Linked DNA regions of Cricetulus griseus. The protein of the gene in region 3 purifies or fractionates together with the protein of the main gene of each other region. This does not show direct contact. Links are inferred from orthologs where the notes say so. Each region holds a gene or a part of one and is shown on either strand. Other genes may lie near its edges. The genes, in order: Nup133, Nup37 and Nup85.

What was found.
Region 1: the proteins of Nup85 (region 3) and Nup133 purify together in Homo sapiens (affinity purification with mass spectrometry; 5 studies listed by BioGRID and IntAct, with this or other methods). This does not show direct contact. The link is inferred for Cricetulus griseus from reciprocal best matches to the Homo sapiens genes NUP85 and NUP133.
Region 2: the proteins of Nup85 (region 3) and Nup37 purify together in Homo sapiens (affinity purification with western blotting; 4 studies listed by BioGRID and IntAct, with this or other methods). This does not show direct contact. The link is inferred for Cricetulus griseus from reciprocal best matches to the Homo sapiens genes NUP85 and NUP37.

The regions. Positions count from the first base shown.
Region 1 is NC_048596.1:200,589,210-200,592,864, reverse strand, and holds part of Nup133 (nuclear pore complex protein Nup133), read left to right. Parts: intron 1-869; coding exon 870-1,005; intron 1,006-2,984; coding exon 2,985-3,103; intron 3,104-3,655. UniProt on the Homo sapiens protein: Involved in poly(A)+ RNA transport. Involved in nephrogenesis.
Region 2 is NW_023276806.1:154,167,753-154,171,407, reverse strand, and holds part of Nup37 (nucleoporin Nup37), read right to left. Parts: intron 2,656-3,655; coding exon 2,583-2,655; intron 1,055-2,582; coding exon 960-1,054; intron 1-959. UniProt on the Homo sapiens protein: Component of the Nup107-160 subcomplex of the nuclear pore complex (NPC). The Nup107-160 subcomplex is required for the assembly of a functional NPC.
Region 3 is NC_048600.1:128,174,510-128,177,449, forward strand, and holds part of Nup85 (nuclear pore complex protein Nup85), read left to right. Parts: intron 1-1,070; coding exon 1,071-1,154; intron 1,155-1,302; coding exon 1,303-1,368; intron 1,369-1,533; coding exon 1,534-1,685; intron 1,686-2,566; coding exon 2,567-2,684; intron 2,685-2,771; coding exon 2,772-2,872; intron 2,873-2,940. UniProt on the Homo sapiens protein: Essential component of the nuclear pore complex (NPC) that seems to be required for NPC assembly and maintenance. As part of the NPC Nup107-160 subcomplex plays a role in RNA export and in tethering NUP96/Nup98 and NUP153 to the nucleus.

The DNA.
Region 1 (3,655 bases), on a different chromosome or scaffold from region 3:
ATATGGTAATTAGCCTTATTTAACCTTTCCTGTTTTATGTGTATCTTGCACTTTGTGAATATATATATATATATATATATATATATATATATATATATATTGATTTCTTCTTCCCAGGTATGTCTAGGTTTGTGTCGAATTGACAGAAATCTCACCTGCACACCTCCTATTCTCTCACATCATTGGAATGGTATTGTCTTACTTCTAATACTCCAAATGCAGGTCACTGTACTTGGTCAATTACAATTTTTAAAATTACAAACATTTTATATAAAAGTCATTAATCTTTTTCTTTTTTCTTTTTTTCCCTTCTAATGAAAATTCAAATCCTGGGATCGAGGAAGATAGTAAAATGAGTAGGCTTCTAGGAACCTGTGTGAAAAGCCAGACCTGCAGCGCACACATATAATGTCATACTTGAAAGGCAGAGATAGGCAGATCCCTGGAGCTCACTGGACAGCCAGCCTTAGTCTACGAGCTTCAAGTTCAGTGAGAGCTACTGCCTCATAAAAGAAATCAGAGAGTAACTGATGAAGACACTAAACACCTCTGGCCTGCTTACACACATATGTGCATGTACAAAATGGGAACCCATAACACAAAACTCAGATTATGGGTAAAAACAGTGCAAATTAAAGTTGTGCTGGTGACAGGGTGCTAAGTGAATACACAGTTGTTATGGAGCGGTATTTTCTCAGTCTCCCTTTCCAGTCTGCTTGAGATTTCCATGTGTATTGCTTTGGCACTGATCCCAGGTAGTTAGGCTTACTAGCATGTCTTCTTTCAGACCCCTTGGAGAAGAAATGAGTTTGGTATTTGCTGAGCTACTTCAAGGGCCTCTTGTGATTTTCTTGTTTTGTTTATTGTAGGCTCATACAACGCTGCTCGGTTTGGCAAATATGGAAACTCGTTACTTCGCAAAGAAAAAAACCCTTCTTGGCTTGAGTAAACTGGCTGCATTAGCTTCAGACCTTTCAGAGGACACGCTGCAAGAGAAAATTGAAGGTAAAAGGAAATCAGAATGAGAAGGCACACAAGTCAGCTGCACTATGACCATCTATGTAGTCATTGCAGTTTAGTAGGAATGCTGTTACTTATCTTACTCAGCATCCATACTTTATCATTCAGACATGTAATCGGAATCATTAATACCATTCTTACTCTGCTGAGTCAGAAATAGAGGATCCCTGGGGCTTGCTCTCCAACCCGCCTAGCCAAATTAGTGAGCTCCAGTTTTTTTTTTGTTTTGTTTTTTTAAAAGACCCTGTCTAAAAAAAATAAGGCAGAGAACAATTGAAAAAGACATCCAATGTCAACCTCTGGCTTCTACACACATACAAAAGCTAAACCATTGAGTTGAGAGTTAGTACACAGACCTCTCAGATAAGATAAGCCCATGTTTCACACTTCTGAAGTGCTGTGACATGGTTTTGTATGTCATATATTCCTTTGCCAGTGTGAAGTATCTCACCACAAGGAAACAGGACATTGTACACGTATGTCAGCCTGGCCTCTTTATAGTTAGTAATGTGAGGACAAAAAGGTAAACTATTAGAAGAAAGGAGCTGAGGCATATGGTGACCAAATTAGCATGATCATGAGGCCTTTGATTGGATCTTTGGGCATCCTTCAACCAAACAACTGTGATGAATATTTTGGAAACAACTAGGAAAACTTGAACTTTTTTTTTTTTTTTTTTTTTCTTTCTTGAAATTGAGTCTCACTATGAAGCCCAGGCTGGCCTTGAACTTATAGCCCTTCCTCACCAGCCTCCTGAATGCTATAAATGAACATATTTAAGATTAGATGATATTACCATAAGCTTCTTAACTTCCATAGGCTTAATAATGCTGTTTTTTGATTAGATGTCCTTATTCTGTTTTTTGTTTTGTTTTGTTTTGTTTTTTCAAGACAGGGTTTTTCTGTGTAGCCCTGGCTGTCCAGAAACTCATTCTGTAGACCAGGCTGGCCTTAAACTCAAGAGCTTCATCTGCCTCTGACTCAAATTTGGTATTAAAGGCATGTCCGTATTCTTAGAAATACATACTGAAGATACTGAAGTACTCAGAATTTAAATGCCTTAATACCTGCAGATTTCCTCTGATAGAAGGGGGGTGGGGGAGCCAGGCATGGTGGCATATACCTGTGATCACTGCACCTTGTAGGCTAAAGCAGAACTGGAGTTTTAAGGCCAGTCATGGCTACATAATAAACTGAAGGCCAGCCTGGGCTATGTGAGACCTGTCTCCAAAAGAAAAAAGAAAAAAAATTGAAAGAGCTAGATGTGGTTGTGCATGACTTTAATCCTAGCACTCAGGAGGTAGAAGATGGCAGATCTAGGTCTCAAAATTAAATAAATTTTGGTTATATGAGTAATTCCTATGGAAAATTTTAAATTATGGGGGAGGAAGATTTTGTATTTGGTTGGAGGTTCCACCTCCTGAAGTAACAACTGTGAATTTTGGTTTCCTTTGCTCACTGGCAGTTTGTGGAACACTGTTGCTGTGTGAGTAGAAATGCTGTGCTTCTGTCTATTGTGGCTGTTGTGGACAGACAGCAGTTCATCCCCGCTTCTCCAGCAGCCCAGTACATCAGGACAGAGAATCAGAGCAGGAGCCTGGAACCAATGGGGTGTTCTTATCCATTAATAACTGGGTGCCCATATACACAGGTTTTGTTTTTCTTCTGATATATTGTGGTTTCTGAATGATACTGCCATGCTCTTTCACTGAGCTGCTCTAAAGTAGGGCCTGCAGCTTGGGCTCAGACCTCCTGAAGTACATTTCTCTCTCCATAGCTGCTTTCTGCTGCTGTGGTCATGTATACACATTGGATTAAACAGTAAATATGTTGTCAGCAGTAAAGAATAAATGTGGAGACTCTGGGGTAGCAATGAATTGCCTTTAGAGTTGTTGGTTTTTAATCTGATTTGATTGATGAAAACAGAAGTGAAAATGTCATCATTGTCTGTCCTTGATCAACAGCAATGGCTGAGCAAGAGCGCTTCCTGCTGCACCAGGAGACGCTGCCAGAGCAGCTGCTGACCGAGAGACAGCTGAGTCTTAGTGCAATGCCTGTGTTGACTGCACCACAGCTCATCAGTGTAAGTGTTGTATATGTTTCCACATTCAGATCAAGCCTGAGTTTTCTAGGCCATACTGTGGAGCTCTCAACAGTATCCTTTTCCTCCTCCTACCTGCCAGAGACCTTTCCCCTAGAACAGCTATTAGAAGCACAAAGAATTAGCAGGATGCAGCTCTCCTGGCCCTTCAGGTACTCATTCAGGAGACTAGTAGGAAACCTGGTAGTTTGCCTTCTCAGAATAGGAATGTGTGCTATGAGGTTAACTATCCTTCTAGAATGTTACACTAAGACTCTTGTTAGCAAAGGTATGTTTGAGGAACTAAGATGCAGAGGCTTCGGGTACTGTCTTCACCTGTTTGCTGGCAACCAAATGATCCAAGGCAAGACCAGAGCATCTAGGTTGCATCAGATGAGCAGCTGGTGTTGTATGCATACTACCTTCCTCCTCTTTCTCCTCCTCCTCCTCCTCTTCCTCCTCCACCTCCTCCTCCTCCTCCTCCTCCTCTGCTCTAACTGTAGTTAAAGGAAAGCAAGCAGTCCAGAATCTTGAGTGTAGGACACTGTTGGCAAC
Region 2 (3,655 bases), on a different chromosome or scaffold from region 3:
CAAAATTTATTTCGACTTTCCTATTATTTTAAATGATCTGCTTATTATTTAGGTCCCTATACAAATGGGTTAGTAAATACTTGGGACCCTATGTTTTATGACCACAAACCTTTCATATTCCTGACAAGGAAATTATGCAGGCAGTACATAAACACAATAGCATATAACTGTAACTATACCCTTTAAAATGTAAGTTATATAAAGACAACATATTTAAGAAGTAGCTAGTGGATTTACTTTCAATGTGAAGTACAACATATGTAGTAGCTATATAGATATATGTGCATTAATAAATGTGAATGGTTTTGAAAGACATCATCAAACATTGAAACTGCAAAGCGCATACAGTGAACTTTTGTTCAGAGCAATGTTAAAGCAAACCAAGCAAATGGCACTTCCCTGACTCCCTCATTTCATACTGTACTCCTCCGCTCATTTCTACCTACACCATTGTTCTCTATTTCAATTAGTTTTGATATTCTACAGCTTTGAGCATTGTTATGTTATACTTACCTATCCACTCTAGACTGGGAAAGGAGGCCATGGGGACACACATCATATTGAAAAGTATCCACTGAGAACTTTATATATATCCTTTAGGATTTGTCAAAACATTAAAGTTTCCCTCCTAGGCAGCACATGAGATTCACAGTTCATTAAATAAACACTAACTTAATTATCCTACTTTGATCTAGTGGTAAATATAGGCTTATAAATATGCAGAACCAAAAGAAGAGGGCAAAGAGGTACTCAGGAACCAGTAAGGGCAATGCCTGTTAATTGTATGAAAACTTAATTTAGTGGTTTTGGAATATTTGTGCCATGTCTACAATTTAAATGAAATACATCTCATTTATGATATTTCATGGGGCCTATACAGATTACAATTTCCTAATTTTAAAATGTTTATTAAAATAAAATGACAATTCACAAATGTGGCTGTAACACATACAACATACCTGCAGGTGTGGTCATCACTTACACTTGCAATTTCATGGCCTTCCTTGGGATGGAACACCAAGTCATTAATGAAATCTGAATGACCCTCCAAAACCTGGAGGAGAAAGAGATCAGTAAGGAAGCACGGCCACAATCCATACTATCTATCTCTATCTAATATTTTCACTTCATAATTTTCCCTCCCTCCCTCCCTCCCTCCCTCCCTCCCTCCCTCCCTCCCTCCCTCCCTCCTCCCTTCCTCTTTCCCTCCCTTTTTAAGGTTTCTTAAGAAAGGGTTTCTCTGTAGCTTTGGAAGTGGTTCTGGAACTAGCTCTGTAGACCAGGCTAGTCTCAAATTCACAGAGATCCACCTGCTTCTGCCTCCCAATTGCTAGGATTTAAGGCGTGCTCCACCACCCAGAGTACTTTTCTCTATAAATATATTTTTAAAAAGCTGCCATTTTAAAAGTATGATTTATATAACCACTTTCCTAGAAGGTTATCTTGGAAAGAAGTCAATCATTCAACACAGTCTTTCTTTTCTAGTATGTATTTCTTATAGAAACATACTATTTTTTTTTAACTAAATTGGTTCTCATAGCACCTCCATGCTCAGTTATTACATAAAGTTCAAATAAAAACTGAAGTTGTGAAAACATCTACTTAAAACTTTCCCACCTTTATTGAGTTCTCATTAAATTAATTATATATTTAAGGACATACACACTGTAAATGATTATAGCAACAAAGCCAATCAAGCCATCATAAGTTTTTATGTTCACTTACTTTACTTATGTGTATTGTAAGAACACCTAGGACCTAATCCCTTAGCAAACTTTAAGAAGAGTATTAACTTTTGTAATTATCAGTGCATATATCATGTTCTTACTCCCTTCACCATCACTCTGTAATCCTGCCTAGGCTATTCTGTACTTAATAATTGTCCCTTGAAGTTATATTTCATTTCATCCTTACCACTTCCATCTATAAACTCCCCTCTTACTTGCTGTTCCTAGCATCTGTAAGTGTTACATTTATTAACTAGCTTCTTCTAACAACCTAGTTACTAGGGTTTATAATAGTGTAAATGAACCCTAAATTGTGGACTTTAAAGAGATGGTGAATCATAATCGCCAGCTTTCCTGGATCTTGAGTTAACTAAGACACAGGCCATTGGACTGAAGGAAGACCTTCCCCCAGAGTGGCTGGCAGTAGATATAAGTGGTCCAGGAAGAACCATCATTGCCTGTCAGCCTGCCTTTACTGCTTACTGGTGTCCAGCCTGCTGCTGCTGCTGCTGCTATCCCTGTTCTTTACTGACATAAGAGTCCCCATATTATCTCACTGAGAATCTTTTAGGCCTTCAAGACTACTGGGACTGCTGAAGTGTAGAACTTCACTGAACAACAGCGTTTCCAGCCTCTTTACCACTGCTGGATGACCCTGCTCCTACTAGTAATGCCAGTCAATTTAATAAATCCACTTTTATAAAATATATTCATTATACTGCTTTTGTTCCTCTAGAGAATTTCTTACTAATCCAACAGCCATTAAGAAGTCATTTTAAATCATAAGTACAATTAAAAAAGCAAGGAAAATGAACAGACTTTTAACATTTCTACTTATTGTACTCGTCAATATACCTTATATTCATTTTTATCTTGAAGATCTGAAGTAAATAGTCTAATCTTCATATCAGCAGCTGAGGTACAAAATCTGAAGGAAAAAAAAGCAAACAAATCCATTTTTAGCTTTTGTAAATTGAAGTCCTTCCTCTATGCCACCTTTGCCTCTAAGTCATCAAACCTTATCAAAACTCATGATGCTTTTTGGGATTGGTGGTGGTAGGGGCAGGAGTTATTGCAGTATGCACTAGAAAGGTTACATCCATTAAAGAAAGGAGCAGATAAATGCAATGTTTTATTCTGGAACACACAAAATGTTAGTACGTTCTGGATTTGTGTCTTATTAAACACAGAATTTCATATTAAGCTGGCATGGAATACCTTGCATTCTCTACCTTTCTCTGAATTTCTGCTACTTTAGGGGTTTACAAGTCATCTTTTAAGAAGAGCAAAGATGATGAGCAATCTGCTCTCTGCTACTATGAAAGAAAAACAAGCAGGGAGCAAAGGAGCAGCAAGTCAGGAAGAGGGCAACCAAGCAAACAGCACATGCATTACCAACTAGGACTTTTTTTATGTGTAAACTAAAACTGGACAGTGAGAGATTCTAAGTCATACCTTAGCAATTTACAGAGCCCACTATGCAGTTGCAGTCACAAAGAAAATTCTATTTATTTCAGATACTCTAAGTAAAGCAAAAAATACAGCATATGACTATACTCATATACAATTATATATAAATCTGGGGTATCCAACTTCTTGGCTTCTTTCTGTCTTGAGGAAGACATTAAATATGTAAATATTAGTAAAAAGCTAATGAGTAAACAAGTCTGTGTATAACTTTTATGATATCTGCTGCCACAGACAAGCAAGAAGTCTTCACATAATAATCGTACTTACGAAGTACCTGCTTGCAGAGTCTTAAAGCCATCAAGCAGGTTCAAGTTTGTCACCATTCATAAAGAACATGGGCATATCTAGGTAACATAACATAATTTCCCATTTCTTATTATGAAAGAAAAAGGGCAACAGTAAACAAACAGGACAACTGACATTGTATTTTGAGAAACCATTGTGTCAATATTTGGTTT
Region 3 (2,940 bases):
TTCAGTTAAGGCTCATCATTGCAGTAAGGGAGGCACTCAGCCTGAGGGCTGTGAACCTGAGAGTCCCAGGCCAGGCCAGGACTACATAGTCTCAAACAGGAAAACTTTCATAGAGACTCTGTGTGTAGTCTTGTTGGGTGTTTTTGTTTTGTTTTGTTTCTCTAGGCAGGGTTTCTCTGTAGGTTTTGGAGATTGTCCTGGGATTCTCTTTGAAGACCAGGCTGGCTTTGAACTCAGAGATCCACCTGCCTCTGCCTCCCAAGTGCTGGGATCAAAGGCGTGTGCCGCCACACTGTGTTTAGTCTTTGGGCATCTGTCTGGCTGTTTGTATTGGACTGAGAATTGATTTGCAGCCTGCTGGGAAGGGAGGAAGTTGGGAGTGGCAGTAGACAGCCTTGCTTTGAAGCACTGGCCTGGATTTGTTACTGTAGATCTGGGCAATGGGAAGGATTTACCTTCTGCTACCATGTTAATTTTGAGGGGAGCCTATTTCATGTAGTTCAGGTAGAAGTTAAACTTGATACATAGTTAAGGCTAACCTTGAACTCTTGACCCTTCTGTCTCTACTTAGTAGGTATGAGGATTACAGACACACATTTTGTTTTGTGTTTGTTTTTGAGACCGGGTTTCTCTGTGTGGAGCCCTGGCTGTCCTGGAACTTGCTATGTAGATCAGGCTGGTCTCTAACTGAGAGAGATCTGCTTGCTTTGCTTCCCAAGCATTGGGATTAAAGGTGTGTGCCACCAGCAGGAGGCTCTATTTATTTATTTATTTATTTATTTATTTATTTATTTAAATTATGAGCTTGATGCACATACATGAATACCCATGCCATGTTCCCAGTCGAGGTCCAGGGACAACTTTTGAGAGTTGGTTCTCTTCATTGTGTGGGTCCCCGGAATTAAAGTCTGGTTGTTATGCTTGGCATAGGGCCCTTTCCCTCTGCCATTCCTCTGTCCAGTCCTGTGCTCTTTTTAAAGCGTTAAGATGTGTGGGTTTCTTGCTCATCTCGGTCATGGGATTCAGTCCTTTCCCTGACTTCCTTTTCCCTTTTGTGTCTGCATTTGTAGCATTGCCTTGAGCAACTGGTGGTTTGTAGCTCACCTCACCGACCTTTTGGATCACTGCAGACTCCTCCAGTCACACAACCTCTAGTAAGTTGGCCAAATGCACTGTCCCTCTTTCTTACGTCACCAGGCCTTTGAGGGAGGGCCAGTGGAATGCACAGGAGGAGGTTAGGTTACAGGAGCCTGAGGGGCAGTCTTGCAATTCTGTGTTGTTTTTTTGTTTTTTGTTTCCCAGTTTTGGTTCTAATATGAGAGAATTCCTTCTGCTGGAATATGCCTCAGGACTGTTTGCTCATCACAGGTAGGAAGTCCCACAAATGGTACTGACCTTGTGGAAGCCAGTGGTGCTTCACTGTCCTCTCTTGGCTGGTTTTGAGGGTTTGGGACAATGAACCTCAGGTGGCAATGCCCAGAGCCATAGGGCAGTCCCTCTAGCCTTTCAACATCTGCCTTCCTTGGACCTTAGCCTGTGGCAGCTGGGGGTGGATTACTTTGACTACTGCCCGGAGCTGGGCCGAGTTTCCTTGGAGCTGCACATTGAGCGGATTCCTCTCAACACAGAGCAGAAAGCCCTGAAGGTGCTGAGGATTTGTGAGCAACGGCAGATGACCGAACAAGGTGATTGTGAGCTTCTCCCAGCTTGCCCTCTGGTTTGTCAGTGCATCCCTGGGCTGAGCACGGCACCCCAACATGGTGACAGCTAACCTTTCCCTGCCACACTAGAGAGCTGGTGTGTGGTACATGCCCACCGTCAGGGAGGGACAGGTGGGCTGGGAGTGCCCTTTCAAACCTAGAACAATCAGCCCTTCTCCTTTTAGCAGACCCAGCTTGTTCTCACATACGATGAGATCTGTGTTCAGAGCTGAGAGTCCTAGGTGGGTGGTTGCTACAGGGAAGCCTAGAGCAGCGGGGCAGCCCGGCAGGAGCACAGCGAGTGCAACTGGGACAGGTGTCCGTTGCTTTGTCGTCATCCTCCTACTGCTGCTGGCTGGGAAGCAAGTGAACCCTGAAACCATATCGTGAGCTCATGGGGTTCAAGACCCGAAAGGAGGAAGGTAGATTTTGTGGTCTCTAGACAGATAATGGTGGGATTGTTTTGTGGGGGGAACCAAGACTTTTTGCTAAGCACAAACACTCAGAAAGCCAGGCTAGTAGGTGGGTCGTCTGTGGTACTGGGTAGAGAGAAGACAGCAAGAATAAACTATGAGCTGGGCGGTGGTGGTGTACACCTTAAGTCCCAGCATGGAGGAGGCAGGGGCAGGTGGATCTCTGTTAGTTTGAGGCTAGCTTGGGCTACGGAGTGAGTCTCAGGACAGCCAAGGCTACACAGGGAAACCCTGTCTTCAAAAGCAAAAAAAACAAAAGAATATACTATTAAGTTTCTGGTTCTTCTGACTTAGCTGTATATTGAGTTCATAGTACTTTTGATTGTAATGATGCTCTTCACAGGAGGGATTATAAGATGTAAGACTTTGCCTTTTGTCTTCTCTCCTGCAAAGTTCGAAGCATCTGTAAGATCTTGGCCATGAAGGCTGTCCGCAATAATCGTCTGGGCTCAGCCCTCTCTTGGAGCATCCGAGCCAAAGATGCTGCTTTTGCCACACTCGTATCTGACAGGTGGGTACAGTTTTCTAGTTGGCTGGGAGGTTGGAGTTTGAGGAGGGCCTAGTACTGCTGCTCTAACCTTTGGGTTGGGTCCTGCAGATTCCTCAGGGATTACTGTGAGAGAGGCTGCTTTTCTGATCTGGATCTCATTGACAACCTGGGGCCAGCCATGATGCTCAGTGATCGACTGACATTCTTGGGTGAGTCTCTGCATTCTTTTACCTGAGTATGAGGGGACCATCCTTTTAGATTTCTCCAATCTACCTAG